Linked DNA regions of Drosophila melanogaster. The protein of the gene in region 2 interacts with the protein of the main gene of each other region in a pairwise test. Each region holds a gene or a part of one and is shown on either strand. Other genes may lie near its edges. The genes, in order: CG18766 and CG17122.

Region 1 (16,769 bases), on a different chromosome or scaffold from region 2:
ATTTGACTAGACTGAGTGTATAATTACAATATAAGCGATTGCGTGGGTATCCCATACGTACATACATATGTATAATAAACATCTGAAGCCTCTTAATCACACTATACATATATACAACGACGTATGGTTACAATATAATCGTACATATATAATCTTTGTTTACGGGGACTCTGGGTAGATAATTTAGCTAACAGGTTGCATACATAAGTTATTCAAAACAATTCTGGTATCTGGTATACTTTCCTCTAAAAGGATCTGGTCTACGGAGTAAAGGCATCCTATATATGGTACACACTGTCTATGGTGTTCATTTAGTTGTGGTCTCCCGAATTGAGAGTCTTGTTAAGCAGTTTGATTTCCCTTCGGCACCTGGATCCGGACTTTGAGTGGCGATCCAGGTCCTTGGAATGTTGAGAGCAATGCAGGCCGTTCCGATTTTCACATGCTAACTTTAGTGGACTGATCTTTGGATCAGACATTACATAGATCATTATTTCAAAGAGGATCTCTTTAGAAAGCCAAATAATAGTTGAACAAATGAATTTATGCTTAGGTTTAAATGCAGTCAGGCACTAAATACATTGAGTAAATATATTAAACTAGTTTCAGATTAGATTTCAATTAAAAAAAAAAACGAACAAGTTAATACATTTATGTAGAACTCATTCTGTGAAAACCGAAACTGGCCTTATAAATTAAGTATCTTAAGTATTCTTATTTAGCCTTAGCTTAGCTTAAGTTTCTCCATCGGCGGCCTGCTCGCGGCACAGGACATAATCGCTTTGGGATGCATCCACCCCAAAGTGCTGGGTCACCGCAGCCGCCGCCTCGGCTAGCTCATCGTTCAGGGACTTGGCGGACGTGGGCGTCTTGGCATCCTTGCTCTGCTGCAGTTCCTCCGTGTTGGGCGCATCCGGCTGGCGCGGTGACTTGCGATACTTGCTGGGATCGAAGGGCGGAAAGGCGTCCATCTTGAGATGCATACGCTTCATGGGCGGGCCAGCGTCCTGTTTGTGCTTCTTGGTGAGCGCCTCGAACTTTTCCAGATTCTGCTGTCGCCGCGTGTTCGGCGATCGGTCTCCGCCAATGGCTCCGTTCCCAGCTCCAGTTCCTGCTCCAGTGCCCGATCCCGATCCTGGTCCATGGTGTTGCTGGTCGATGAGCTTCGATTCGTATTTCTTTTCTAGCGATTGTAAAATGTTACCAATTTGTGAGGCTTTCGTTTGCAGGCGCGAGACCATCTCGCCCTTCTGTGTGAGTTCATCTTCACATTCCTGGTTAAATTTTAGACGGGATTACTTTTTGACTTGAAGGCTTAAACCGATTTACTTGGAGCAAATGACTAAACTATAAACCAAAGCTTAAAACACAAAGTGAAATGATACCAGAGCTACGAACCAGATGAGCGAATGAATGTGGATAGATGAGTTGTGAGCAGTGTAATGAGTGTAATGAGAATGAGTCATTTTGTTTGTCCGCCCAGGAAATCAAATGCAGATTACCCAGACTCCAACCAAAATAGACCCACCCTGATGATGACTACTCACCTGCAGCTTTCGGTACATCTCCAGGTTGATCTGCTTGATATCGTCCAGCTGGCGGCGCAGTGAGACTATCGTGTCCTGCTTTTCGTGAATATCCTTCTCCAGCAGTTTCATGGCCATGTCCGATTCCGCCTTGAGGGACACCTGCAATTTGAGCTCCTTCTCCAGCTCGCTGTTCTTGCGACGCTCCTCAACCAGCTCTTCGGACGCCTTCTCCTTGTCCTTGTCGGATGAACCACCCGAACCAGTTGAATTGTTGTCCCCTGCCGACGTGGACTGTCGCATGGCCTGGTTCTCGGCCTGCAAGGCCAACAAGCTATTCCGAGCGATTGCCAAATCCTCTTTCATCAGGGCATTTGTGGTCGTTAAGGACTCTACTTTGGCCTGCAGATTGCCCACAGTGGCGCTGAAAAATGAGGAATAACTTAGCTGGGGAGGCACTTCATAACAACAGCCGAAACCCACTTTAGATGCCTGTTGAGCTCCTCAATGTAGTTCTTCTGGTCCAGCACCGCAATCATGTTGCCCTGCCCAGTGGCATCCAGCAGAGCAGGCGGAGCACTGTCTTCTGGAGCCGCATCGGCGTTTCTCGAGCTTGAACGCAGGTACAACGAGAAGTCGATGACGCCCTGCTGTGAGTCCAGATCCTCCTCCTTGACGCACAGATTGCAATCGATCACGTTTAAGCCCACCAAAATGCCCATTATCACAACGATCTGAAGCAGGAAGAGATGGATGGGTTAAAGGGATTCCTTGAGAAGATTGCGCGCAGCCTAACCTCATCGCTCATCATCAGAGCATGTGGCTCATAGTAGTCGAAGAGTGAATCCTCCCGGTGCTCGATGAGTGCCTGCAGGTAATCCGATAGCTTCTTTTGCATCAAAGCGATCCTCAGCCAGGCTCGAGCGCGGCCAATGTGGGTACGAACGGTGGGCAGATCCCTTACACTCGCCGTAATGTCCTGCGCCTCCGGGCAGTAATGCTCGACGCTCTGCAGCAGATCCCACAATTCCTTCCTCGGTCCCAGCAGACCCTTCTTCGGGCGCAATCCATGCCCCAGGACATGCTCGATGACGATGAAGAAATGCTGCAACGGCAGGTGATCCGAGTCCAGCATGCGACCATAACGCAGCGACTGCTCCAACAGCTCCTTGACCACCAGCTTGCAGATATTCACCAGATTACTGCGCTCAATTTCCGCCGTGTCCCGGGCTGCAAATGGAGGAACGGTGGTTCCCAGATTAAAGACTCGGCCGGCGCAGAAATTTGCTTCAAAACAACTGACAACTGATTAACTGAGTAATGAAACTTCATGTGCTCTCCTGGCTGCTTTTCTTTCTGGCACCCGGGGGTTGTCCCATATACAGCATCGACCTGGCTACTTTGGAGGTGCCCACAAACGATTTCCAAAACGAACTGACCCTGCAATCCATGCTCAGCTCGGAGCTGCGGGATTACCGCAATGGCCTGATCGAGACGGTCGATGAACAGGTGACCAATCCTCCCTATTCCCCGCCGCGCAGATACCAAGAGCATGAATGGTTTAAGGATCTGCCCAACGAGCTGCAAAAGGCGACAAGGAGTACCACAGAATCGGACTCATTCCTGGGCACCAATCTGTTTGGCAACTACCGCAAGAATTGCTTTTCCACGGAGGACATTGCTATCATATCTGCACGCAAAGACTTCGAGCTGCTGGTGCCGAAATCCTTTCCACAATCCCTTCTCACCGACAGCCTTGTCTACATGCTTCTCCGGTACTTTAATACTGTTAACCAGATCGTGAAGCGAATGTCAGACGATGATACGCGGCTCATCATGCAGAGAGCATTCTACGATGCCCTGGGTGGCTATCTGCGCTACTATCTGGTGCCCATGGCCCAGTTATCCTTCTATGCCGGACGCATCAAGCTGAACACCGTGGAGCGCTTGGTGAACATTTATCAGCAGTGCAAAACGACGCTCAATACGAACGGAAATGGGTGGCGAGCTCCGGACAAGGATATATTGTCGCAGTTCAAGGTACGAAAGATCGAACCCGTCAAGCTGCCCAAGAGCTGCTATTCCCAGGAGGATGCCTCCAGCTGTGCTCAACTGGATCAAACATGCATTTCCCAAGAGCCGGATCAAGGGAGCATGATTGTGAGCCTGCCTCGACTGGAGACGCTCGATGAGAATGGCTATATGGGCAACATATACTTGCCCTTTCGAAAGCGACGCATCTACAATCTGCGTTCTCCCAAATCGGAATTTGTCGTGGTGAAGTTCTTCCAAACCCTAACCAACTGTCATCGGTTTCAGGGCATTAGCCAGGCTAATTACAATCGCCAGTTGCTCGCCTGGATAAAGGAAAATCTGGAAATGCACTATGGCGATGATGTATTCTACCCGGGTCTGGGCGGTATTCTGCAGATTCAGGAGAGGCTGTCGAAAGAAGCGAAGAATGCGGAGGAGGAGGCCCGGGCGCCAACCAATAAGAATGACGGGCAGGGATCACCATCCTGTCCCAAAGAGGACTCCCGCAAGATGAGTCGCTCCGCTATTCACTGGCAGGAGGCTTCAGGGCCAGTCGAGGAGTCGGGGCCGGAGCCAATGCACCAGGACGAATGGCTTACCGGATTGGATAAGGTTCAGAGTCGGCCGGAGGAAGTGGAAGAGTGCCGCGAGTGCGACAACGATGAGACACTGATCTGGTGCATTGCCGCCTTTCTGACCCTGCTTCTGCTCCTCATTCTGCTCATCATTTGCTGTTGCATGCGAAGGGGCAGGAAGAAGAGGGTTGCCCCAACGGATGCAGAGGCTCCTCCGCCGAAAGAGAGGCCAAGAAAAGAAAAGGAGCCGCTGAAAGCCAAAGAACCAGAGAAGGAAAAAGAAAAAAAAGATGAAAAGGACGAAAGTGATGCTACTCGGCGGTACTACTACTCCGGTTCTGGTCGCTCCACCTCACAAAGATCGGTGCCGAGCAATCGTAAGTCAAATAAGTTTGTGGCAACTAAATCAACTAAATCTAACTGCTCGAGTTTATAGGATATGCGAATAATCCCGAGCTAGATTCCTTCACCTCATCTTCGTCGCTGGGATGTCAGTTCAACAGGAAGTGCATGCCACTGAAGTTCTCCCGAGCGAAAGGAGGGGACTACTACGCACCGGACAAGAGCCGAGATGCGGTGGGAAAGCAGGTCACATCCCTCAAACTTCTTTCCGATGATTCGTCTCCTAGCCGAGTTCCCTACAGGGACGTTTGTAAGCCCGCTCTAAAGTCGACCCTATCCGTCATTCCCTCGTCGGACAGCGAAGTGGACAGCAGAGAGGATAGACATCGACATAGGCATGCCCGCGAAGAAGACAGGCGGAAGAAGCATAAGGACTTTGAGACGGGTCGTAAGAAAGAGGTAAGTTATCAGTGCTTCGCGTGCTTTTGATATCCTGAACTCAGAGTCACCAGCAGACCAAATCCTCAGAAGACAAAAAGCAGCCATCACCAGAAAGGCGATTGTCCAAACAAGTGAGGATAGGTAAGTGCATGACTGGTCATTTCTTAAGCCTAATCGATTCATTCACTTAATCCTCTGATGCTGCCATCTTAAAAGCAACACCGGAAATGTACAAGGATACATCCGATGATCCTCTTCTGCACAGGAAGAAGTCGCAGGAGAAACCAGATGTCCCTGCCGGTCGACAGAAGGGCGGTGCAGAGGTGAGTGGGATGTGCAAAATGTTATATGCCAAAATAATGATCTTGACGGTTTTTCAGTATTTAAAGGACTCTCCCAGCTGGGAAACGACTTTTGACGATAACTAGTTGGCAATTTTTTAACCCTTTTTCGTTTTTTAACCTTCCTATTTCTTAAGTGTATATTTTTTGATAAGTTAATAAACCCTATGATTTTTAACTTTTCCATTTCTCCATTGAAAGGAAAATGAAGTTTTAAAATGGGAGTTTTAACTGCCTAATTGAAATCCTAATCCTTAGGGTATTTCCTAGGTAAATCACTTAACTTTTAACTAAGAGCAAGCAACTAAATGTGCAACAATGCAAAGAGGCATGCAACAAGATGGAAGATTACAAGGGCCAATAAAATCGAGAACATAGATCTAGCCATTCACACATTTTAAAGACTTTCGTGCTTGATAAGAATCTGTCGTCTTCTATAAAAGCTAATGTCTACACAATAAACAAATGCCAATATCTTACGAAGAAAGATAAAAATGTTAATAAAAAACAATATTTTAAGAAAACTAATAACGTAGAAAAGTCTGAAGCCTATAGAATATGATGACTTGACTCTTCGAGTTCTTCGGATTTGTATGGCCCTTGCAATCTAACGAGAAATGAAGAGAAACTACAAAGTAGGAGCGTGCTTGGCAACAGAGGCAACAAGAAGCGACCTACAGAGATGCGACCACTCGGCGAAGAGGCCAACACTCTGGTGCTGCGACTGGGAGTGCGACTGGGACTGGCCGAGTGCCGAGGAGCCACTATTGACCATGTCGCACAGCCGGCGGCCGATAAGGTTTTCAATTGCCATAATACCATTGTCGGTGATGTCCAAGCCGCCTCCTCCACCGGCGTTGCCGCCACTTCCACTGCCGGTGGACAGTCCGGAGAAGCGTTTGCTGTTGCGCTTGCTGGAGCTGGAGCCCACATTGTAGTTGGACCCGAAGCCGCCCGTTTGGGAACTACTGCCGCCTGCCAGTTTCTCACTGGTCTGAGCTGCCTGGTTGCCCGTTCCGCCGGCCACATCAATGTCCTGCAGCTCCTTGAGGCACAGCCACTCGCCATCGACGGATACCCGGAAATTGCACAGGTAAATGGTGTCCTGGACACCGCCGGCTAGCTCCTCGCTGGTGTTGGCATGCGATGCCTTTGGCAAGGCAATCGTATTGCTGCTGTTGCTCGCCTGTTGTTGCTGCAACACCAGGGGTTGCTGCTGTGTCTGTTGCGGTTGTGGCGGCTGCTGTTTCGGCTGCACTTGTTGTGAGGGTGGATTCTGACCCTTTTGGCTCTTCGCCGCTGCTGCTTGCGCCCTTGTTGTTGCCGTTGCTCCAATTGCTGTTGCTGTTGTGCCAGTTGGAGTTGCTGCCGTGGCGGACTTTGCAGACTTGCCTACTTGTTGTTGCCCCGTTTGAGGCGCCTTCTTGGCAGCCATTGTTCCTGACGACAATGACGTCGCGCTGCCCGATGTTGGCGTTTTCACTGCACTTCTCAAGGGCTTCGAGCTGCTGCCGCTGGCACTTGATCCTGTTGCAAGGCTGCTCGACTTGATGCGACCGCTGCCGCTGGTGCTGCTGAGGTTGTTGTTGTTCGCCGACGACAACTTGGTCCTTTTTGTATCCTCGACAAGTCCACGCATTTCGCTGCTGCTTCAAAGTACGCCTGAGTAGTGTGTGTGTGTGCGTGGGCGTCCATAAAAATACAGATATATACATATATCGATATTAGCTGTTCAATAAGTTCCGAGTTTCCTTTGCTGCCGCTTTCCCTCAACTGTTTTTTCATTACCTTAGAGGGGTTTTTTCCTTTTGTAAACCTCTTTTCCAGAGGGTTTTACTTCTGAAATTAACAAAATAACCGAAAGTTCTCGCCGCTTTGATTTTGCACCGTTATCCTGTTGTGTACGCGTTGAGTAAGACTGGCAAAAAGTTCTTTATCCTATTGATTTGTCCAGTGCGCCAAGCTCGCAAGCTCCTCGCGAGCTTTCGTTGGGGGTGTTCTCGATGGTCACGCTGTGTGTGGTGCGCAAATCACCTTTGACACTTTCCCAATGCACTTTTAAGTTATTTTTAATCATATTATTTATACAAGTACCGAAATATTTCAACGACAGTTTCGCACAGCCCACGAAATTGCTAATACTAATTAATAAATACATTTTAGAATAGTTTTGAGTACCTAAATTGTTATATTAAATATATATGTGTATATATTTATATATATTATATATAATATATTTTATATATGCAACATTATTACTTAACATATTATTATTAGCGCACAATGGAAATTTGGTTTCCATTGCTGCTTATCATCGAATGAATAATAATTCGGACTCACCGCGTTTCAGTCGCTTTGCTTTCAGTTTCGATGGCGACGGGGATGAAGCACTGGCGCTCGCCACCGTGTCCGGCGCAACAGGTACAACAGGTGGTGCGGGCTCGTCGGGATACGGGTACGTGGTGGTGCCATCGATTACCTCGGAAGAGGCGGCTGCTGCGGCCGCATTCGAGAACTGTGTGGATATGTGGCTGAAGATCTGCGAGGAGATGCTCTCCGTGCGCCGGAAGGTGTTCCGCAGGCGGTCCAGCGATGACGTGGGGGCGCTGGGCGCAGGCGCGGCACCTCCGGTGGTGGGCGTAACCGGAATGGAGACACTCGAGGATTGGGAGTCTTCACTCCTTTCGCGGCGCACCAGCAGATCGTCCGTGCTCATGGCGAATCACTTGCTTCGCGGCGATTATCAGGACACTGTGCGGAGTCACATGAATCAAAATGACGCGATTACAGCCGCTAATTTCGCTTGTTTTGCGCTTGAACGCGGGTAAACAAAAAAGTTTGTCAATACAAAATTAAAACAGCTGTTGCACTGCGATTGGGGATGGGCGATAACAATCACTGGTTACAGATCACGGTTATCGCAGCTCGATGGGAGCTGTTATGTTATTGAACTGACTATGCTTATCGATAAGAAAACTCAAGCAGGTGTTAAAAGCATCATAGGGTGGCAACACTGTGCCCACTTTTACCGCCAAAATAAATTGCTAGGTTTATTTACGAAAATTAAACGCCCAACGAAAGGACAACGAATGGAGGAGGAATTGAAGCAGCAGTTCGACGAGATGGGCGTGGAGCCAGCGGACGCAGTTCTGGGCAGGTGTGCGGAGCTGGCCATTACCTACAACATCCACGACGCCACCGAGTTCGTGGAGCAGTGGATGGCCTTCAGTTTGTCGCACCTCCAAGGCGAGGATCCTGCGATCGAGAATCTGGGCGACTTTGAGCGCAAGGTGTTGCAGCTGCGGAAGGACAAGGCGGGATACAAGGCAACTGGCCAGAAGGCGAAATCATATGGTTCGCCCTCTGTACAGGATACGAGCTCACTGGCCACCTATGGCGTCATGGAGGACGATCCCATGCTGGATGACTATGTCAGCGAATCGGCAGTGGACTCCTCCGCTCTGCACACGCCCAAGGCCAAGAAGCAGTCGGATCGGACCGCCAATCTCAAGGGCGCCGCACTCTTTAGCCCCGCCAGCTATACACCCCAATCGGCAAAGAGGAAAGCAGGTTTAGAAACACCATCCAACTCAGTGGCCGGCAAGCCGGGCGATATAGTTGACACCTTCGGACATCCCAAACTCCTGGCTGGCTCCAGCTGGCAGTCACAAATGGAGCACACGGTTCCGGTGACTCAAAAACTGCTGCACAACGACGCCCCGCTGACCATCGCAAATTTGGGCTACATGAACGACCTGCTGACCGACCGATGTCACAACCTGCGCGTCCGCTTCAACCAAACCGGTCCGGCACTAGTGGACAAGAAACTTGGACAAGCAGGCGCAGCCGAGTGCATTTGGTATCCGCAGGATAGGCAGGTATTGCAGTCCGCAGGTGGACTCCACGCGGTGGGAATGATTCATTCCGAGGACGATGGCCCACTGGACGCCCACTCCGCATTTATGGCCGTTTTAGATGACGATGTAGAAGATGAAATGGACCCAACGCTCACGCTCAACTTCTCCAGGGTCAAGTCTGCCAGCATATTCCCAGGTCAAGTGGTGCTCGCCAAAGGGTTCATACCCAGGGGCAAAACCTTCATGGTAGAGGAGATACACACAGAGCGCAAACTGACGCCAGCAACGCCACTGCAAATAGACAGGGAGCTTCAGTTTGTGGTGGCCTCCGGACCCTTTACGGACAGTACGGATCTCTTCTACGAACCGCTGCACGACCTGCTCAAGTACCTCAAGGATCACAGACCTGACGTGCTGGTGCTCACGGGACCATTCCTGGATGCCGATCACAAGATGGTCGGCGAACTGGCCGAGACCTTCGATACATTCTTCGAGAAGATGATTGGGGGAATAATGGAGTCGATTGGTAGTCACACAGCAGTGCTGGTGGTGACCAGTCAGAAGGATGCCATGGCTCTTTCCGTATATCCAACGCCGCCGCCCGCTCTGCGCAGAACCTATCCAAATCTATACATGCTGCCCGATCCATCTCTGGTGGACTTGGATGGCTTTACGCTGGGCGTTACCTCAACCGACGTGGTGGACCACCTGTTGAGTCACGAGTTTGCTGTGAATGCCGGCGAGCGGATGCACAGGGCCATCAACCACTTGTTCCACCAGGGCTCCTTCTATCCTTTGTATCCGCCGGCGGACGAAGACATGGCCTACGATTCCCAGCTGGCGTTGAAATATGCACAGCTCAAACAGCTACCAAATGTGCTCATCTTGCCCAGCGATCAGCGGCATTTCATCCGCTTGGTCAACGACTGCCTGGTGATCAATCCCGGCCGTGTCGCGGACAAGAAGGGTGGAACTTTCGCCCGATTCCTGGTGGCGCCTTCGGTGCCGGGAAAGGCGGCCAACATGTTCAACAGTGTGGCGTGTCAAGTCCAACGCATCTAACCTGACCACTTTGTGATGATGATAAGGAAAGGATAGTGGGAAATAGATCAGTACAATATTATTAGTTAATATAATGAACACACTACTTTGTCATAACTTTTCACAAAATACATTCAACAACAAACAACTAGCATTAGTTATTTTGGGCCAAAGTAGGTATTGTATTATTTGTAAACATATGCCCTGGAGTTTTCTCAGACTCAAGTTTTATATACAACAAGATCAATAATGGCTAGCAACGTTGCTGCGCCACAAGCTTCAGCTGGAGGAGATTCGACGGAACTGGAGCGCTGTTGCTGGATCTGTTTTGAGACCGATAAGGAGGCAGGTCGCCAGGCTTGGGTGAATCCATGTCTCTGCCGAGGAACCAATAAGTGGGTGCACCAGAGCTGCATTTCCCTCTGGATCGACGAGAAGACCCGAATAAACAACAATCTGCAAGCCGTTTCCTGTCCACAATGCCAAACGGAGTACACCATTGCATACCCGAATCTCTGGATTTTCGATAGGGCTTTGGAGCTGACCAACGATCTTATCCTAACAAACTTATATAATTGCCTGGCCAATGTCTTCACGGTGGTCTTTGCCTATTGGTCAGCGGTTTCATTCGGAGCAAAAACATATTTGCAGATCACTGGTCAGGAAGGTCACGTTCATCAAATAATTCAATCGGGAGACCTGTTGGTTGTTCTGGTCGGATTCCCATTAATCTCGGTAGTTCTGATACTTGGACGCTTAATTCCCTGGGAAGATGCCCTGTTGCGCTTCATTAGAATATGTTATTCATTGCTGCGAAGTCTTTCAATGATGTGCCTAGGACGGAAATATGACCACCAGACCGAACCATACCCTTCTGCGCCAATGACCGAATATTCAGCATCGCGGGTGGTCTGTGGAGCCATCCTCTTGCCCACCATATCCATGTACGTGGGTAGAGTTCTTTACAGCTCTGTCGACGATAGATTGCAACAAACTCTTCTTGGGGGATTGACTTTCATAGCGATCAAGGGATTCCTCAAAATGTACCTCATGCATAGCCAATACATCTGTCGTATGAAGCGTCGTGTTTTGGATTACACGAAGGAAAACCTAGCGGAGGCAGACGGACACTAGGTAAACTCAAGATCTGCAAGAGAAGCAAGAAGTAATTTGAATATCTATTTAAATTGTAAAGTGTACAATTTTCCTAAGACTACGTGTCAATAGTGCATTCTTACTACCAATCATAAATAATCGTTAAAGCATTTATTAATTTATGCATAATAGTTTACAGCTAACAGTAGGAAATGGTGTCTAAATGTAATGTACTCCCTAGGATCTCTATGCACGATTGATCGATCCAGCCCCCTCTTTACGGAAGTCAACTCTGTATCGAGGGCGCGATCGTCGAGAACTAAAACTCCAATGTATATTTTAACTATACAAAAAATACTGTATGCCGTGTGTGTGTCCAATGAACTTGGCCGCAACTCAGATGCGGTTAAGTAACTGCGCGCCACCTTAAGTAATCCTCGCCTAACGTCTCACTTCGTTCGGCTTCTGTGCCTGGTTCCTGGAGCTGCGTCGTCCAACAACTCGTTCAGTTGTTGGGCTCCTGCTTGTATTGTTATTGTCGGTTGTTCACCCCCTCGGGATTGTGGCTGCTGACCATGCTGTGCTCCATGTTCTTCACGATCACATAGTTGGTGATGTGGTTGATGGCCTCGTCCTGCAGCCGCTCCGGCCAGCGCTTCATGTACGATTTGATGAAGTCGCCGAACGTGTCCACCTTATCGGGAGTGCTCTTGTGCGTGTCCACGATGTTCTTCACAATGTCCACGAACTTGTCGTAGTCCTCGTGCGACTTCTTGATCTTCTGGTAGTTGGCCACGCCTCCATTGGTGTTGCCCCCACCACCACCACTGCCACCGCTTCCACCGGCAGCCGTGTTCATTTGCTGATCCATGTTGTTATCCGCCAGGCGGGCTGAGGCAGCGGCAGCCACCGCCGCCACGGCCGCCGATGAGGCCATGAAGTTGTCCACGCTGCCGGCATTGGGTGGTGGCTGGGAGTGGTCCATAAAGTGCCGATGCATCCCGTACTCGGTCCTGCAAATCCCAATTGTTATTTAAACATGTTGTGAGGAAGGTGTTCCAATGCTAGTGCTTACTTATAGAACCCCTCCGTGTTGTTACTATTAAACTCTTGCTGAGACATTGGATTCTTCCAAACTGGTGACTCGGATGTGGATGGTAAGCTGCTCGTATTGGACGCACTTGTCATGCGTTTGTCTCTGGAAAATAATAAGATATTTTGTTAGTTTGGGATTGCTATATGGGAAGTATCTATCATATCTCAACCAACTTGTAACCGGTGTGTGCGGCCAGACTCTTAAACACATCATCCACTTGACTGTAGAACTTCCAGGTGCTGATGATGCCTGTGGTCTCAAAGGTCTTCTGCTCCTGCCGGTAGCGCTGCGTTAGATTGTTGACTTTAAAGTGAACCTCGAGTGCGGTAACAGGGACGCCCAGCGAGGTTAGCTGCTTGGCCATTGCCACATACAGATGGCCATTGCGTTTAATGGTGCGCAGCTCATAGGCGCAGACTTTCCATAGTTTGATCAGCTCTAGAACACCACTATCCTCCCATTGTCGGCGCTTTTTGTTGAATTTTTCATACTGCGAATAGGTATACGATTATATTGATGATAAAGCTACTGATTCCAAAGACAACTTACAGGCATTTCACATGGGTCTTACTGCCGACAAATGGGATTGCCCGACAATCTTCGTCTGCCAGCTGATGGAGGACATGAAGCGGTTTATCTAGTGGGCTGGCATACTGTACACGGATTCGCTCCTGAAATAAATCAAATGATTAGTTAACGTGCAGGTGTCGTTGTTTACTATTTGTATTGTTAGACGTATTAATATTGCAATCCCTATGAGTTTCAGGGATTTCTTAAAAAGTGCACACCACACGTAAATAAACAACCGAACATATGGTCAGCCACCTATTTGATGACTATTTAATTGAATTGAAATGGTAATTAATCTTTTGTAGCCTAATACCTTCCCACAAAAAGGGTTACGAATGATTGCATTTCATAGTTAACTTAGTTCTCGCGGCAATTAAAGGGTATAATGTTGTAATACACATAAAATTCTATTATATTGCAGCAGAGTTTGGATTCATAGAAATATTTATGTATTTTTAAGCTCCTAGAAGGACTCATTCCCTAGTTGTCATGGGTATTAATTACTATACGATATAATTATGCACAATTTGAAGTTCTATTTATATTCACTAATTAATTTCAGCTTAAACTTTTAAAACGCAAGTATTTTTAACAATTCTTATCACAGGAAACAAAATGTTATAGGAACTGTTTTAAATTTGGCATCCAATGATTTTAAAATGGGTTATTGTCGCTTCCGTGTTGTTTGTACCGTAATCCCATTGGCTAACAACCCATTTTCTGGCACTAAAGGGTATTTACTAGTCGGTGTACTTTGTCTATTTTCTAGCTTTCAATTATCATTAAGCCGGCTCACACACACCGACGCAGCTCAGCCGCTCCCGCACAAACACACACGCATGCAATGCAAATCGAACGGTAAACGGTAAACAAATATTAATTGTGCGAGCGAAACAAGTTGCGATATGCATGCAGCAGCTGCGGCAGCAGCAGAAGATGAGAAGTGGATGCGGCGACGTTTGGAATCGAAGTGAAGCGGTAACTCAAGTGTAGAAGGGAGTTGGGCTCAGATGCGGATGAAGATGCTCCGCCGACGTCGACGGCGACGGCGGCTGCGGGATAGCAGCATTGGAGCCAATGTACATATATGTAAGTTCGCGGGGGGTGAGAGGTTACTTTTCTCGAATACACACACGCACACACTTTTCCCATTTCAGAGATACACACACTCACATCGCATCCACATCCGATTTTCTTGCGTTGATTGCGTTCTATTGTTACGTTTTTCGCTTTGCTCCATGCAACAACGGGCGAAACAACAACACTACGACGCCAACAGCGTGGGCACAAAACTTAATAATAAGTCAAATAATTAAATTTTAATTATCTTCAAGAGGGAAACACACGAAAAACGTAGTTTGTAGCTCCTACGCTGCGCAGCTCTCGCAATTCGACTCTATAATGATGTTCTCGGCGTGAGCGAGACAGCATGGCATGGCAAGAGCAACATGGTGTGAGCGGTGCGGCTAGTGTGACATGGCGTTGCCAGACAGTCGCCAGTGCAGTGCGTTGGGGTTTCGAACAGCGCCAAAAGGTGGGAAATTGAAAATGTTTATTGCGGCTTTAGGCCAATAGAACCAAGTCATCTGCCATTTATCGTGCTCAATACAGTACTTTTACTTCAATCTCGGCTCGTTAGGGCGCAACAAAGCAAGCGCATTTCATCGCTCATCATCATCATCACCACCACCTACTCCCGCCTCCCTTCAACAAATCGCTTTTCTTGGAGCATAATGCACACACACACTGGCACAGTCACACCGACACGTATGTGCCGGTCATCATCATCATCATTAGGTTGTGCGATGGAGCAACAACAACAACAACAAAAGCAAACGTCATTAGCGGGCTAAATAACAAAAAATGATAATGTCGCTGCTGCCACAAAGTCGTCGTCAGTTGGCTTTGCTTGTGGGGTAATCATCATTAAATTGCACATCGTCTCGATGAAAAAGTGCTGGCGGGGCGGGGCGATAGGCGATGGGGGTGGGGCAAGGCAGAGGAAGAAGAAATTGGGGGAAGCGAAATCCCAATAACAAGGTCACCAAATATTCAAAAATCTACGAACCTAGCCAACTATATAAATAGTAAACTTTGAGATAATTAATAATAGACATACAAACTAATGTTGTTTATTTGTATTTTGAAAAATATATTACGTAAATTTCTAGTTATTGACACATATTTTTACTTTCAAATAGGTTTTAGTTGAATATCAATCTATTTTCATTCTCCCTAAATATATTATTATAAACAATTATGTTCTTCAGTGTTTACAAATTTCTATATTGCAAATATGTATCTTTTTCTTTTGTTACTAAGTACAGATTGTTTAGGAATACAAAATGAATATGTCATCATCTTCAAGAACTTGACATTTTAATAGCTACAACATCATCGTGCAGCCCCCACCTTTTATCATTTCTATAAACAATAATGGTCAGCTTAATAGTTACCCTTAAAATCAAATCATATTAAACTATTATATGTATAGTACAATACTTATCTTAATTTATTGTGCAACATTTTTAATATAATTTTAAGATGGCACCTCTCTTATATAACTGTTATTTTAGTGAATTTATTTTAATGAATCATTAGCTAAAATATATTTTTAATGGTAAATGCATGCTAGTGTTTAAAATGTATTATTACTTTTACTTAAGTATATTTCACTATTTTCCAAACTTGTGACTATTGCACTAACCTCAAGTGTACGCATTACTACTACATATTTGCCCCCTCATACTCAGCTTACCCACATTCTCCATATTCGCCGGTCATCATCATTAGGTTGTGAGGCGCCGAGAGCATCAGCTCCCAAATGCGAACGTCATTAGTGGCGGGAAAAGAGCAGCAAGGAGCACCCATAACGCTATCATCGGCAATCATCATTAGGTGGGGCGAAATCGCCCGGAGAAGCTGCGCAGGATTCCATTGAGAAGTGAGGCAGATGGGTGGCAGTAGCGCCCCATCAAGGTCAGCTGATTTATGCAGGCACATTTACTTTCTACGGCTAATCCGCACTTAAGCTGAACGGGGATCCGGGTACATGCTGCTCCCCCCACTTGACCACCAGGATGTAGTCACCGGGATCGCACACGCGGTAGGTGACCCTGTGTATGCCGCGTCCCAGGTGCCTGACCACCACCTCCTCGCAGGGACCGCGTTGCCCCAGTACGCCCACCAGGAGCATGTTGCTACCCGCCTGGCCGCAGTCCACGGTGAACTCGTTGCGCTCCACCAAGCTGACATGGGTGAGGCCCAGGCCACGGCTCTGTACTCGGCTGGCATCCGAGTCCGAGATGGGCACTAAAGCACACAAGATGCCAATTGATTATCACAGCTTTCGTGCACTTTTTTTTGACATATCCTACCTGAAGAACTGGCGGGCTTGCCATCGATGGACTCGGTAGCTCCTGCGATGGCCACGATGATGAAAGGAGAGCGAGGCAGGGTCACGGAATTGCACTTGATGTGCACCTTGTAGAGACCCGCTCCGGCGTCCAGCTGGCAATCGATCTGAAAGCGCTCCGGATCCAACTGCTGTTGCCGAACGGGCTGAATGGGCTGACCACTGGGACCTTCGACGCGCACCTCGAAGTTTCCCTTGACCCCGTTCCGCTTGATGATGAATCCCAGCGGGCTGTTCACTCGCACCGCGCCGCTGGGAAAGTGGAGCAGCTGCACCTTGCCGGCGTCGGTCAGCTCGGGTGCCACATAGACGCGCGGCGATTCCGAGGGATAGGCATCTAAAGAGTTGGGGGGCGCGAGATTCGTAGTGTATAAATAGCCGGTTCGATGTTTACTTCCTCATCGACGCTACTCACCCGCATCGGGCGTTCGCTGGT
Region 2 (16,126 bases):
CTAATTAATTTTGACTAATGTATTGACTAGAATTTTTCCAATGCTTACAAGCACAAAATGAAGATCACAAAATTTCATAATTCCAATTCTCTAATTATAAATTCAAGTAATTGCCAAATAAAATCCATTAATTAAATCAATATAAACTGGTTTGTGTACATAGCCGAGTGCGAATAAATACTTAAACTACAGTGAGCCTTAGCTAACTTATATATGTACAGTGTAACGAGAGATTGAACAGATTAGGCTTAAAGAAGAGCTGTGGAGACTACATTCTATATTCTTTTCGATTTTCAAGTTTACATATTATTGAGACGATCTTTAATCCTAGCTTTAAAAACACAACTACTACTCCAGGTGGTCTACGTTTCGTATGGTGCTGATATATGTATATATTATATTTACCCGTATTTTACAAGATCGTATTATAAACTATACTAAACATATACTGCTATTCTTGTGCTGGTTTTATGTACAATTATATCTTGGTGTTACACGGCCACTTCCTTTGACTTCGGCTCCTTTCTTCGCAAGATTTTGGATCGAGCATCATCCTGGCTTAGTTGGAGCTCCGATTTGGGTACTTTCTTGAGGTTTACAGCCTCGTAGTCACTGCCACTCTCGTCGGCGAACTGAATATCATCGAGAGACAGAAACTCCTGCAGATCCCCCGATGATTTCTCCACGGCAGTTTCCTTCTCCACATAAGAGCCAGTCATGGAGTCGTTGGGTTCCAGTTCGGTTTCCACCTTCTGATGCACTGCAGCAATTTCGATTGGAACTTTACTGCTGCGTCGCTGCTCATGATCCAGCGAACCAGCGCTCAAGGACAAACTGGATTGCATCTGCTGTTTGGACTGGCGTCTCTGTTTTCTGGACATGAAGGGAGTGGGTTGCTTGGGCATGGATCTTCCACCCCTTTCGGTTCCATCGCAGGGTGAGGTGGCCTTTGAGGGACGCCCACTATCTGGCGGGGATCTCTCCTCGGAGCTGGGTGTGTTGTCAGCCGTTGTGGACTTGCTGGACTCCGTGTTACTGGCTGGACTTAGGTAGTGTCCGTACTTGGGCATCCGGATCTCCTCGTACAGCGGCTGCCGTTCATCCCTCTCGGGATCTGGTTCCGGTTCTGGAGTCTTGTCGTCCTCTTCCCGCTCCGCCACCTCTTCGAATGGTGGTATCCAGATAAGGTAAGCCGGATCCATTCCAAGATAGGAGCCCGGTGCCGATCCTGCATTGATCACATTGTAATCGTAGTAATCCATTTCAAGTTCTTCTTGATTTCCAAGCGAAAATTCTGAGCCTGGTCGGGCCAGGAGTTTCCTTCGATTCTGCTTCTCCTTGGACTCCTTGGGATTACTGGTCGTCCTGATGGTCGCCGTGCTAACCACACTGGCAGCTGGTGAATAGCAACCCTGAAACAGTTAACTATTAGTGAGCTCTTCTAATTTTATTAATTTTTAGCTGAAGAAATTCCAGTGTAACCTCGTAACTCACATTCGTCAGGGAAGAGCTGACACTACGGGTTCTCAGGCGACCCAATCTGAAGGATTCGGTCACCGATAGTAGGGAGCTGGCATCCTGCAGGCTCTCATCCAATCTGGAGGAGAGTAACTTCAGGGTCACCGCATCGTAGCGATCAGAGTACTTGCTCAGTCGCTTGCTGTTCATCGGTGGACTGTTGCACAGGGAACTCATTCCTGAGGATATGATGGACTCCGAGTCCCTGGCGCTGTCCTTGCAGCTCGGCGGCTCTATTGGCTCATCCGAGGGGGAATCCTTGGACTCTGACCTGCTGTGAACCGCAGCCAGTTCGGCTTCCGCAGAGGAAGGTGATCCAATGATACTTCCAGTATCCAGAGATCGCGCTGGTGACGATCTCTCGTTGCGCAGAGTCACCATGGAGGCCGAGCTTCCCAGCTCCTTAATTTCCGCGCTGCAACGAGTTTAGTTAGCTTTATTTTTCCACCTCTCTTTTAGCCTTACCATTTCGCCAGCATTCCCTGGGAATCCGACTCCTTGAACTCCGTTTCTTTGGTCAGATTTTCGGCGTCCACGCTCTCGCGGAGAATGGAGTGTCGCAAGTGGTGTTTGGGCCGCATCTTCACCATGTAAATGACCTCCGAAAGCAGAGTTGTTGTGGACATGGCCCGTGAGGGAGGACCTTGCAGGGAACTCAGCGATGCTCTGGGAGTGTGAAGTCTGGATCCTTCGTCCTGTCGCCGAGCCACTGCCAGGTGATACTTCCGATATCGCACCACATATTGGGCACCTAGAAGCGATAGAAGTGGTGATTACCATCTATAAAATCTATACTTATATTTCAAGAGCCCACCTAAAAGGGAACTAATTATGATGATTATGCTGGCAAAGATCATGGCACTCAGATGAACCAGGGTAAATCGAAGTCTTGACATGGACTTGTGGACAACAGAGCGAGTTTTTCCAGACAAACGAGTGGCGGCCACAAGTGTGATACTACTGTTACTGCTCCTTGTAGCTGTTGAACATTTAAATTAAATTAAATTATTAAATTCGTTGAATATTTATCGAAGTTTTACTCACCCAACCGCTGCTGCACATTGGCCATGAATCCCCCGGTGCAGGCTGGACTTGCCTCCTGAGTGGCATTGCCCGCCGGTCCATCGCCGGCAGAGAACTCCACCAGGAGTTGGCCACCAGTGGAATCGACGACCACCGGAACGCCGGCTCCCTTGAGGATCAGTCCACCGCCATTGAGTTCCACGAGAAGGGTGGACGAAAGCGACGGTCCATCGCGCACCTTTATGTACTGGGTGGCACAAGGCAAGCGGAGGAAACTCAGTGCCAGTGAAATGCTTTCCTCACCATCCACCTGCGAGAAAAGGAATTTTGTGTTCGTGAACATACGGGCAATTGGCTTGGGGTTTCCCCACATTCCCGGGCATGGGGCAAGCGGATGCTGCCGAAGTGGGTCAGGCATTCATCACCATTAAGCCTCCTGCCCATTGGCACATTCCCCTCATCCCTCGAACGTGTCAATTGGCAGGTCTAATCATTCCAATTGTATCGAACAAAAAAGGGCCTGAGTCAAAGTGTGTATGGATGGAAAAGTCGATAGTCCTTTCATCTGATACCCATTGAATATATATATATATACTGGACTTCAGGCCTCTTTATGGGTCCCAACATCTGGTGGAATGTCAAGAGGGTGTTGTATCAAGCAAAATGTAAAAACATTTGCAATACATTCATAATTTTTTAAAGTTAAATTTTTAATTTTTTCTATTCGTATATTTATATACGAATATATATATGGTATTTATTTCCTCTTCATTATAATATTTATTTATATCCTCCTATCTACTTTGTTTCCTAGTATTCGATAGTATAGCTCGGAGTCAATAATCATTTTTCTACCCGAGATTCTTTCTATTCTAAAAATCTCTTCAATATTATTTTTTCCAGCAATAAATCTGCTTGTATCCAATAATTGTTTGTTAATTTTTTTCTTTCACTTTTCTTGCCTTTTTTCCAACAATTTATTTCCATGCAATTTTTAACCTACTAAAAGACAATGGATGTTCTTTTCCCAAGATAGCGTTGAGCATACCCCTTCCTACCGAGAATACCGAGTACATTAAGTTCAGCTCACCCCCATTGGACCCCTTACGCATTGATAGTTTGGGGACTGGCCAAAACGCCTACCAAGTGGGGCATTTATTATGCATGAATTGAGTTCAGCCCCCTTTGGCCAGCGATGTGCGTCCAGATCGGAGCACCACTGCCCTGTGGCATGGAGCATTGAGTGGGGGCTTCTTTGTCATTTTGGGGCAGCCTGCGAAGCGTAGCGGAATTTTATTCATGGACTTGGACATCTGAGTGTTTGGCATTGTTCGTTTTTATAGTTATGGCGGCAGACAACTTGAAAGCTTTCAAAACTTGACCAAATGCCAAAGGGCAGCGTCACTTAACTTTCCCTATTTTCTACTATTTTTTTTTTTATATTTTTTTGGTAAGTTGAGAGGTTGTTATGGAATTGGTTAATAGTCTGTACCTGTATTAGCCAGAATGAGCGGCCAGGACAGCTCTGTGTGGCTCCAGCAATGATCCTTTTGGGCTTCGAAGAGCCCAGATGTACAATGCAGCCGCAACGACATCCTGGTCCAATTTCCTGGCTCACCTCGGTGCTATTTTCCTTGGTGATGACTGTACCCGAAGTCTCGTAAATGCAGTCCCACGTGTCGGCGATGCTTTTGCCACACTTTTGGGTCTCAACCGAAGGACCCTGTAAATACATATGTAAATTATATTATTAAGAGTTTAAAAAAGCGCTCAAAAGAAAAGAAAGTAGTGACGAATCGAACTGCAGAGGTGTATGAGCTATGGAAATTATCATGAAGTCTTTCTATGTTAATGAAACATTTAAAGAATTTAAACGAAAGAATAACACGTTTTTGACTTTGCACATATTTATTCAAGACTCAACAAAATTGGAACTACAAGTAAACTCAATTTTCATATCCCTCTAGTAGACGAACTGCACATCGAAGTCCTCCTCCTCGCCTTCCTCCTCGCCCTCGTCCTCGTTGGTAACACCCGTCATTTTGGATGTGGCCGTCAGTGTGTCCAGAGCCCCAATGCTGGGAGCACCCTTGATGTCCTTCGAGGATGCGGAAACGGCTAGCGGTACGGTTTCGGGCGGAGCCACTGAACCCTCACTGCTGGCCTTCTTCACAGACATGGAGCTGGTGGAACCCTCTGGCTCCTCCAGTGGCTCCTCCTCCACCTCAATGAGATCGTCCTCGCGCGATGATGAAACGTATAGAGTAGTGCCGAATTCCACATCGATTATGGTATTCTCGTCACCTCGCAACGAGGTCATTAGCCGATCCTGCATCTTCTGCTTTTGCAGATCCTCCGGAACGGTGCGATCCGGCTCCTGTTCGATGACCTCGCTGCGGAAGGCGTCGAATGGCGTTGCTTTGGGTCTCGTGGGCATGAAGCCCATTTTACCTGGAGCATACAGCGATGAGGTGGCACTGACAATGGAGGCAATCGATGGAGTCTTCGGAAGCTCCTCCGAATGGGAGCTCACGATGCTCATAAGCTGGGAGAGCAAATCGCTGCGTTTCAGCTTGCAAAGGGATATGGCCTCCTCCCGAACTTCATTTATCATTGCGGGATCATCCACATTGGCCTCGACTAATCTCTCCGGGAATTTCTTGGCTGCCTGCTCCGCCACAATCGCATCCCGCACAGTGCACTTGATCTCTTGAATGACTCCACGCAGTCGAGTAATCTCGATCTCGTGCTGGGCATGGACCACCTCCAGATTTCGATTGTCCAGATCCAAAATCTCCATTCGCTTGGCCAGGGTCCGGAGTTTTCCGGCCGCATCCTTTTGCTTGACATTCTCGCACTTTTCAGCTTGGAGAAGGGATTCATAGGCCTTCTTGTAGCGCAGTACCTCCACGTACTTGGCTTTCAGTTTCTCGTAGTTCCTGGTCAGACCCTCAATGATTTTGATCTTGTTCACGGAGTTGCGGACCAGCTCGTTTTTGATTTGATCGAGGGCACTGTACTGCTCCTCCATCTCCTTGTGCTTGGACTTCTGGTTGGTATATGCCTGCTGCAGTTTTATCTGGGACATGACCAGTAGATCGATCTCCTTTTGCAGGGCTATGTTCTCACGAATCAGGCGGCGGGTGTAGCCAGCGTTGCGGATCTCACTGGACCGGGTGAAGTCCTCGGAAACTTGCAGCAGCTTCTGTTCGACCTCCTTTTTTAGCGCATCCTTCTCCACCACAGCTCGTTGTTCCATATTATAGAGCGCCTCCTTGTGATCCTTCTCGCGCTCATTGAGATCCGCCTCCTGCTCATCGAACTTGGCCAACAGGACATCCCTCTGGATGCGGAACTCGTCGAGGGAATTCAGCTTGCCATTAAGCAGCTTTATTTCGGAGGTCAACTGGTCGTGCATGGCCTTGTATTTCGACTCCAAGTCGCCGATCTTCTCCTGTGCCACGCGGTTCTCCACATCCCGCACCTTGGTGATCTCTACCAGGCGCTCCTCCAGTTCGGTGATCGAGTTATTCCTCTCCGCCAGGGTGCGTTCCAAGTGAGCGGCCACGTCGACGCCATCGGCCTCCACTTCCTTGAGTTTCTCGGTCAGCGTGATGTTGGACTCATCGACGGTGGTCACGTGGGATCGCAGTCGAGCTAGTTTCTGGTTGAGATCCGTGATGGTCAGCTCGTAGAAGGTTCTGTCCACCTGGGTCACCTTGTTCACATCCTTCTTCTCCTTCTTCACTTTCGGCGGCATTTTTGAGGCTGCTGTTCGTTATCAGAATTGACTGTCTACGAATTTTGACGAGTGTTTGATATTTTAAGAATTACAAAACGCCAGTGACATTGTTTATAAGTATGAATTTGCACACCCATCGTTCTTTGTTTAATTAAAATGAGCTCTGTTATAACAACTAGTTGATGAACCGTTGTCAAGGAAATTAAAGCTTTTCAAAGCTGAACCCATATCCTTTACTGTTTGACCATAAAGCTTTATTTTCTGGAAGGAACTCGACTATTAATTTAGTAAAGCATTTTCCAAGGACCTAAAGAGTTTAAAGTGAATCCATTTGTTATATGTATACACATGTACTATTATTTCCAATTGTTTTCGGAAGCGAACCTGAATATCATTACAGATGTGGCTTTTTTGGGAAAAGAGTGAAACTCAGCGAACAAGAATCATTTTTTAGTTCAACCACAGCATTACCTTAAATAAACCAAACTGGACAAATATATTCTATAAAAACCATTAAAAATATCAGTTTTTTTTCAGAGGTATTTTAGCTATCCCCTTACAAATAGATATATAACTTTAAGCTCCATTTTATAAATTTTTCTCCCCAGAATGACTAACAATTTTGGTTAAATTCTATTTAAATTTAATTTAAATGTGTTTTTCTGCCTAAATCATGAATATGGTAAACATTTTACTGCCTTAAAATGCTTAAAGCGCCACTAGAAAGCCACTAATTTGAGTTTGTGGTGCTTCTGTGGTCACAAAAGGTTATTCCCCGTGTTTTCTAAAAGCAAATAGTGCCTGCCGTGTGGGAGCTTTGTTTGATTAATAGCCCGTGGGGCAATATTTGTACACGCACATGGGCGGCAACGCCTCCGGGCGTTTCTTTTGGGGGCAAATGCAAATTGTCGAGGCAAGTGGGTGTGGGTGTGGCACCCACCGACCGGGTGCTCCTCCAGCAGCCGGCCCATGGACACAGCCGCCCACGCAATTGTAGTCGCCTCACGGCGAATCCATTGTTCCAGCATCCGTGGCGTCCGCGACTCCCGTGTAAGAACTACTTGCAATAAGTGTGCGGAGCATTTAAAAACTTTGCCTGTAATTGTTCCGAACAAGTTGGCAAAGTACGGGCAAATGTGCCCCTATCGCTGGATCCTGATGCCGGAAGTTTTTGGATAATGAAATGCGCGGATGAGGACGTGGATGGTGGCAGTGCGGGAACAGATAGTGACGGAGGCGGAGGTTCATTCTTCCACTCGCTTCAACAAAAGAAACAAGATAAAGCGTGGCGCAGTAGGCCGACAATTGTCGGAAGCGTCGTAAATTCCCCACGCAATCTGGAGCAAGTGTCGCAGTGTGGAAACACGCTTGCAGACAACATAACATACCGTGCCGAAGCCACCCACTCCGGCTGCCAGTCCACTCCACGGCATGGCCCACAAACAAAAACAATGAAATAGTTCCACTTTGCCCCGGCGGGCTACACTGCAAGGAATTACTCAGTTGCCTTTCAATTTCAAGATTTTATCCGTTTTACTTTTGGGAATATAAAAAAATGTATTTGTTTCGTCACTAATGAAAATGTTTGAGCTTGTATTTGAGTTTTAGCTGAGTTTGGCTATGCCCTCATTTATATGTTCTAAGCTGAGAGTTTTTAGTTAATATAAAGTGTTTAGAATTCGCTCAGTGTAGGAAAGTCGAGTGTAATGTGTGAACTAAGCTGGAAGCAATCTCTTGGGTAACGAAGTCCCCAGAGTCGGGCGAAGTTCGCCTGTCTTTAGTTGTAGTTCCGCACTTATTGAAATCGTCTTGATGGCTCAGATGCGCCAAAGTATTAATCATTTCTGGGAGCACTCAATCAAACTTTGGCTGTTAACGTTGTCAAATCAGGTGGGGAGGCAGAGGTCGTTCAGAGGTTAATCTGGCGAGTTATTTGGGCTTACATACCTCACAGAATTTGGCCCCATATCGCGGGGGTGGTGAGTCACAGAAGCGGTAGCGATTGCGCGTTCCTCCCAAGCAATTTGTGGAGCAGGGCGTCCACTCGCTCCAAGGTCCCCAGCCACCGGTATCCGAGTCTGCGGAAAGAGTGGTGTCATGAGCTAATCACTTCAAAACTTATACAGCGTGCTTAAATATATAATATAATGGGGCGGGAAAATGAAACTATTTGAGGGTTATGTATTTCAAAAATGCCTTTGTAATGCTTTAGGGCTTGATTAAAATTTAAATAATGTGAAAAAATTTGAAGTTATGCTTTTTTAAAAATTAATGCGAAATAGTAATTAAAAGGGTATTTTTTTCAGTGTAGCGAGCACACGCAATAATGTGTTAAGAACTATTTGAACTCCAGCTTAATTGGGATTTTCCTTTTAATGGAGTTAAAAACGGCGTTAATGCACCATCGACCACTCACCGCTGACGGGCAGGGTGGGCACACAGTCCATCCGGACATCGGCTACGGCTCCGGAAATTGCCTGGCTGACGTAGACGAAGCAGTACTCTACGTACTTCTCGGAGAAGTGCTCGCAGGCAAAGTACAGGGAATGCTGGCTCTTGACGACCCGCTGCTCGGAGACATAGTGGAGCGACGTGGGTGGCTTCAGGGAGGCGACATCGGCCCGCAGCCTAGCATAAAGACGCACCCGGTCGCCCTGCTCGAGAATGCAGCCAGGATACTCGTACAGGACACCGATTCCCGTGTGCGGATCACAGGGAAATATGCTGCGGGCATACACGTTGAACACGAATTCGTCGCTCCAATCGACGCTCAGTAGCCGCCGGGTGGTGGGCACGTTCTGGGCGGGAATCATCGGTCTCAGTTGGACTGCATAGTTTCCCGCTAGTCCAAATAGTTCGCATCCCAGATGGAGGCTCTTGTTTTTGGGGAATCCGCGTATTTGCTCCGCAAAAAGGACACTAGTTGGGGTTATATTCCGATTGCAGCTGCGATCCTTGCCGCAGTAAATTAGCTCCAACCAAAATTCCGGCAATGCCAGACTGCCCGACTGATTGCAGTTGACCTCGGGAAAGCGGAGGGTCACCTCCACAGGATGCTTGGGATAGGTCTTCAGGCGCACCGGACTCACTATCATCTCGGCACTGGGCCATCGCACATCGAGCGTCTGGTGGAGTCGCTCATCCTGCGCGGGCACCAATGTGGTGGTCACCTCACTCCGGTTAACCGACTTGAGATTGCTCACCACCTGCATCTCGTAGCGTCCTCCGATCAGGAAGGTCTGGCATGGCACCGTCACCTGGGTGACATTGAATCGGGGATCCGGGAAGAGCGGTATATTCTGCACCACCTCCTTGCGCTTGCGATGCAGCACCACCTGGCTGGTATTGGTTACCTCGGGGCCCGGAGTCAAACCCTTTTCCAGCGGTGACTCCACTTCATCAATGATTTTGCTAATGACTAAAGTGCTCATTATGGTGTTGTTCCTGCTCTTCAGCCCGTCACTGGAGCTCAAGGGCTCCTCGTTGGACGGGCCACCACCGATGGTGTGCTCCTCCTCCGCCTGCGAAGACATCTCGTTCCCATTGAACTGGATCTGCACATGCAGGTCCCCGCTGAGGGCGGTGAATGTGCTGGGGGACATCAGACGACCCTTTCGCACCGCCAGCACGTGACCTTTTGTCGAAACCGCATCCGAATCCAAATTGCAGTAGCAGGAGTACACAATGCCGGCAATTTCCAAGGAGTCACCACATGAAACAAGAGAGAGAGAAAAGCAAAGCGGAGAGATAAGAATTATAAATCCTTGTAATTTGTTTCGTGTGGCTGCCTTCTGTTTGGACCCATTGAAGAGCCTCGGCCATTGTTCACTCCACCCAGGTCGTGTAAATTGAGTCGCATTCGCATCCAGCAACTCCCCCGGGTACAAATTATGCAAACAAAACAAAAACATAGAAGGAAAACTCCATCCACAGCCACGAAGTTTGATGTCTTTCTCTTTTTTTGTTGTGGATAGATAAAGACTCAACTCTACTGATCTCTATTTTAAACGGAATATACAAAATATATACCTAATATCCTAGATATTGCAAGATTTTTTAATTATATTATATTACAAAAAAATATTCAAATATTAATGCAATTGATCCTTAAGCTCTTGTGCATTTTGTGAAATAGTTGTGTTCCTAAATATATTTACAAGGACATAAAGGGTATTTCTGTTAGTTGGTTTTACATCTCGTTGTCGAATTCAAAATGACAGATGGTGAAAATGCCAGAACTAGTAAACTCCCCTGGTAAAGTTTGCACTTGCACTTGTATAGTGAAACAACATGATTTGGATAACGCCTTGCTGACCATTTCAAAGTATCTACTGTGTGCTATCCAAATATTGCGTATACGCCTGTTGGGCGTACAAATGAATTTATGTATTTATTCAGGCCGAATGTGTCAGAGGCAGTCACATGTAGTGCCGTAAATGAGTTTCACTCACTTGTCCCGCTTAATAAGAGCAACATTATGGATGAGACAATAATTTTCCACTTGACTACTGATTTCAGTCCCGATGTCAGCATGCCGATTGTCTTCTTGCGCCTCCGATTCGCCGCCATTTCCTTTGAGTTTTTCCGCATTTCCTTCGGCTTTCCCTTCGATCTCCCCTTACTTCCTCCCGCCCTTGCCGATTCAATCAGAGGTGTCAGTCTAAGAAAGAATCTCCGCCTGCCACTCAGTGGAAGGATACCAAAGGTTCCACGTCGCTGGCACACATTCTGCAATTGCGATTCTGATTCTGATTCCAATTGCGATGGCGATGGCGCGGCAGATGGCTCCTAGCCCAATCCCTCATGAAAGGAGCGTCATTTGTTTAGCTTTCATCGCCAGAGGAAAATTTTTGCTGCGACGTTGCTGGCCTTCTGTGGAGGAAAGACAGAAGTCTACCTGCCAGGCATTTTCTGCAAAAAAGAAAAAAGTTGACTTTACTGAAAGGCACACAAATCAAATTCAAGACAAATTGAGGTGCACATTTATAGACTCACTAACGAAATTATTATGATGATCTCATTTCTCCTTACTCAATTTTGATTTTATAATTTATTCTGGGATATTGATGGTCTTACAGTAAAAACTTAACAAGTGCTTTTAAACAGCAGTTAAGAAAGTAAAACTTATCTCAGATATTGATGTTGTATTTATTATCCTTCATATTCCGCTGATAATGACAAAATGAACAAAAAGACTATGCTTTTTTATGAATCATTATTGAATAGGACTTAGGGCCGTATTTTTAACAGCTTCAACTCTTGCTCCATACAAATAAACTGTCCGTAAGTAAAAAAAAAAGCTTTAAAATAAACTCCCAACAAAGGGTGTCAATGGCCCCTATTGTGGCATTAAAACTCCCCATCCCCCAACCAAAAACCCCACATATATGACCTGTTCTATGCCTGTATGTATGTTTCAAAAGGGGGAAGCAAAAAAAAAAAAAAGAAATACAATCAACCCTCATAAATTCCCAAACCAATTACTAGTCGAGCACGAAACATTTTTATGGCGATTATTTCCACAATTCAATGCGATTTCGTTGGAAGTTATGCTCCAGGACAAAGGAATAAAACAAACATAAAGAAGGAAAAGTCAAGATTCGGAGTGACTAGACAATACCTAAATAAATTGCGAGTAGACTCGATTTTTTGAACAATAGTTTAATCCAAACTCCATATACTTCAGCATTTATTTTGTTCTTTGTCGTAATTTCTATTTGATATCTAAGATTACTATTCTCAAGTAAATTCTCAAGTAATGCCCTAAAATAAAACCAAATTGACGTATATATGGGCAAATTTTAATGGCGAACATAATGACTCCCAGTGGGTAGCTAGCGACCATTCCGCGTAATTAAATAATCAGCCACAAATAAAATATTAACAACTTTTTGATCCCTGACCAGAGGCGGCGATACATTAACAGCTGGCGAGGATAAGGTGGCATAGCCAGTAATTTCCCGACTGACATGCACATCTAATTCCCGTAGTTTTTCGATTCATCAACAAAAGTTCCGAAGGTGGTTCAGGTTGGGCTAGTGTCGGATATTCAGTGAACAGGAAGAGGCATCCAGTGGATACCCACTCACCCCCACCATGGTCATTAGCGAAATCTGTCGCGTCACTGGGATATGTTACCCTCTTCGTCCTTTTCAGCACCTTAATTGCGGACACGCACGGATCGCCCGATGACCAGATGCTATACGCTATATGCGGCTATATATGTGTGTGCTGTATGTGTGCTATATAGCACACTGTACGCCCTTTGCGCTAATGAGTTGGTCCTGCCAATTGCCGCACACACGTGCGTCCGTTCGCATTTACCCGCTTTCGAGTTTTCCAACAACAGTTGGTTGTGGACGAACGCCTTTTACAGCCAGAATCATTCAGTTTTATAGCCGATTATTCCCATGGATGTTTCATGGATTTGAAACCGTTGGCTGTGAATGGAAATGGAAAACCCATGTCGTGTTTCCCTTTTCAAATTGAACTGTCTTTCGGAAACGAATGCCTTGAATGTTGTATAGCTGTTCTTTGTTTTAGAAAGGTTAGTTAAGACACTAATTCGAATGTGAGAATACTAAAATCAAACATTTAAATACCACAACCTTGGGTGATTTTCTATCCAATTTAGCTGAAAATTGCTGGTAGTAACATTTGAGTGAATAAACCAATAATTTATGAAATTTCTTTAATTTTCACATTCATTTCGCCTTTAAATGATAAGTACGTTTTAACACATTTATATTGTTATATTATTAAAATGTAAATACAACCTCCTTCTTAAGACGCCAATGTTACAGGTCTTAAATTATTCAATATATTCCTACTCCCATCAAATAAAATGTTTTACATTTATAATACAAATTCAATTCGAATTTCCCTGAACTGAAAACGAGAACATGTCGCATATGATTTTTGAAGACGAGTTTCCCCCACGGAAAATGTGCAAATAGCCCGACTTACGGACAAATCCTATGGTCATCCGGCGCACTGCGAAAGTGTGGGAAATGTAGTGGAAATCGTGCAGGGGGCCAAATAGAAAAACAGACATTTGCACCAAATTGAAAGAGGAGAGCCCACAGAATGGTTTTCTTTTTTTCGATTGTGTAGCACCCACCCACCCGAATTTCCCATTTTCAATTGACAAAGCCGGCTGAAGTTTCTTGTTCAATAGTGCAGGCCCATCAACATGATTATCGGTGTCGCTGTGGGCGATCGGAGGTCGGAGGTCGGAGGTCAGAGGGCAGTGCGTGTGTGCCCCCGGCGGCATTGGAAAACTATTAACTGCACTGTGCGGTCCTTTGAACGGCTGTTATCCGTTATCCTGCCAACCAGTCGCCACCCAGTTGCCGCCCAGCGGAGAGCGCTAATTCGCTATCGAGTCACTCGAACAATTCGAAAAGTCAATAAATAAATTACATGTTTAGTATTTAGGAATGTTAACTATAACGAATATCTATAATTTAAACATACCCGCACTAGTTATTTTTTTAGAATTCAAATAACATGATTTTTCAGATAAAGAAAACGCATACACAATTAAAATATAGTTAATCATATAATTCAAAAAATTAACTATATTTCAATACGGATAAATTAAAATGTTTTAGGTCCAACTAAGTTCCAAACGAATGCTCTCATGTATTAAAAAAACTCTGACCATATTTCTCCCAGTGCATTACTGACCAGCCTAGAACTGCGAAATTTTCGCAGCGCGGAAAATCAAAGCGACGGCGGCCGAAGAATTATGTTGCACGGCTGTCCGGGAAAATCGAAATGGAAGAGTGTGGATGAATGGGAACGGACTAGGGGAGGTCCTGTGCTTAGGGCTCTACTCTCTATCCTCTGGATAGCCAGAATGTCAATGCCCCGGCTGCGCGGGTGGCCACCAGCCTTTCCACCCTGGACTCCGTGGTATCGCCGTTATTCATTATATTTTGTGGGCAAGGAAAATTCCGTTCGGACTCGGCCAACAACATTTTGGGGTGACTTCGCCGTAAACTCCGCGGAGTACGGAGCAGGGAATACTGGGACTGGGTGGCACCACAAAACACACGCTTGCTGCAATGGCGAACCTTAAACTGCGCAAAAATCCAGCCACAAAGGAAAAATGCACAGTTTGAATATCCAAACATTTACATGCTCTGTTTACTCTTAATCAATGGCCAAGGATGGCCAGTCGCAACGAGCTGAGTCTGCACTTAAAACTCCATTTCGCCACACATATATAGCTATGTGTGTATAAACCTCGGTTACCTGGTGAAATTCCCTTTCCCCCCACATCCCCCCTTGTGTGGTGTGCAATTGGGTTAAAAACTAAAAATAAACAGAGGTAAAAGAGGTACACCCGCATGTAATTACCTGAAACGGACCTCATTCGCATTCAAAAGGCATGGCAACCATTTGCTCATTTGGACAAATAGTAAAGATAAGGTGACAGGGAAAATGCGAAAGTCAACTGGACAATAACCGAGTAAACAGGTGGAAAGCACGATGGAAAATAAGATTTCCCAACTCTCTTTTTTGCTGTGGAGAAAGACAACTGAAAATCAGCAGCCCGTTGTGAAAAGCAAAGCGAAAACTTAGTTAATGAATGAGAAAATATTCTCAGGGAAATCTGTTTCTATGTCAGCAAGGAAAACCCAAAGAGAGAACACTAGAAACGATTTTCTCGACTATCAGATACCCGTTAATTTGCTAGTGGATGTATCAATGTTTTTTTTTTTTTGCTATAACAATAGAAATTAGCAAGACAAACAATTAAATTAAAAAAAAAAAGTTTTCATAGTTTCTGAGATCTTAAAGTTTATACGGACGGACAGACGGACAAGGCCAAAATGTATAAACTTTTAAACGAATCTAAGAGTAAGAGGTATAAGGAGCGCTTTCTATGGAGTGTTAAAAAAGATGCAACATTAAAATAATAGTTTCTTTTTAATTGAAGTAAAATTAAGTTTGTTAAAGAGCTATCATTGCACTGTTTCTTATCCAACGGAATCTGAAACCAAAAGCTTCAAAGTGCATCACCTAAAGTTACGGCAACAAAAATAAATGCCCTATAGCTGCGAGGGGGTTTAGAGGGTTAAAACAAAACAACAATTTGAAGAGGGGGCGGAAGCGGGGGCGTGGCAGTCACTGTGCTTGACACCAAAACCACAAAAAACTTTAATGACTGCGACATCAGCCGCAGAATCGTTGTGAAGTGAGTCCAGCAAAACGCTTCTTTGTCCCCAGCAAAAACAGGAAAAAACATGAAAATCGTGTAGAGTGTCAGAAAACAAAGAAGCTATTAAATGCAAATTAATTTTACAAATAAAATCGATTGTTCGTTCAGCTTTTGACACAGAGCAGCAATTTCAAAATACCTTTGAAACTTTGAAAGAAACTCGGGTTTCAATCATGACCGCAAATAACTGACAGTTCCTTCCAATTTGAAACACTTTGGCAGTTGGAGAAGTTGATTTAATAAACTTTATAAAATTTATCACGAAAGTTGCCAAGTACTTAAAGTACCATCAAATTCCTTTCAAGTCATAAAATTATGCATTGCATGTGGTGGCTTGCGTGTTCCGCACAAAGGACAAACACACTAAATACCCATGGAACTGGCTGATCCCTCGACATCGAACTGGGAATCCACCGGCAGTTTAGCCCGTCCAAGTGGGGAGGTCTGTAAAGCTGGCGAGGCGAAAATTGCTCCAGACTGCATCCTTATCGCATGGCATTTTCCACAAGAATAACCCAACACATCTCGCGTGCCCGGTGAAATTGACATTGACGTTGGCGCCGAACAGTGGGTGCTCTTTGGGGCATGGCATGATGTGGAGGGGGATCTCCGAC

What was found.
Region 1: the proteins of CG17122 (region 2) and CG18766 interact in a two-hybrid assay, tested with the Drosophila melanogaster proteins (2 studies listed by BioGRID).

What each region holds. Positions count from the first base shown.
Region 1 is NT_033777.3:27,230,926-27,247,694, forward strand, and holds CG18766 (uncharacterized protein), read right to left. Parts: upstream 14,325-16,769; 5' UTR 14,265-14,324; exon of another isoform or gene 14,092-14,264; intron 13,894-14,091; exon of another isoform or gene 13,721-13,893; intron 13,020-13,720; 5' UTR 12,904-13,019; coding exon 12,898-12,903; intron 12,839-12,897; coding exon 12,522-12,838; intron 12,451-12,521; coding exon 12,328-12,450; intron 12,266-12,327; coding exon 11,785-12,265; 3' UTR 11,410-11,784; downstream 1-11,409. Other genes in the region: CG31064 (uncharacterized protein), read right to left, coding at 1,548-1,950, 2,010-2,260, 2,323-2,756, 6,079-6,898; CG31068 (uncharacterized protein), read left to right, coding at 2,847-4,512, 4,572-4,936, 4,990-5,059, 5,135-5,241, 5,299-5,346; PolA2 (DNA polymerase alpha subunit 2), read left to right, coding at 8,349-10,178; CG17991 (uncharacterized protein), read left to right, coding at 10,407-11,291; CG5984 (uncharacterized protein), read right to left, coding at 15,935-16,230, 16,296-16,670, 16,749-16,769.
Region 2 is NT_037436.4:20,268,954-20,285,079, forward strand, and holds CG17122 (uncharacterized protein), read right to left. Parts: upstream 6,383-16,126; 5' UTR 6,302-6,382; coding exon 4,505-6,301; 3' UTR 4,436-4,504; downstream 1-4,435. Other genes in the region: gogo (golden goal), read right to left, coding at 492-1,412, 1,495-1,933, 1,984-2,269, 2,333-2,497, 2,563-2,851, 4,034-4,264, 8,231-8,361, 8,700-9,917 and 1 more.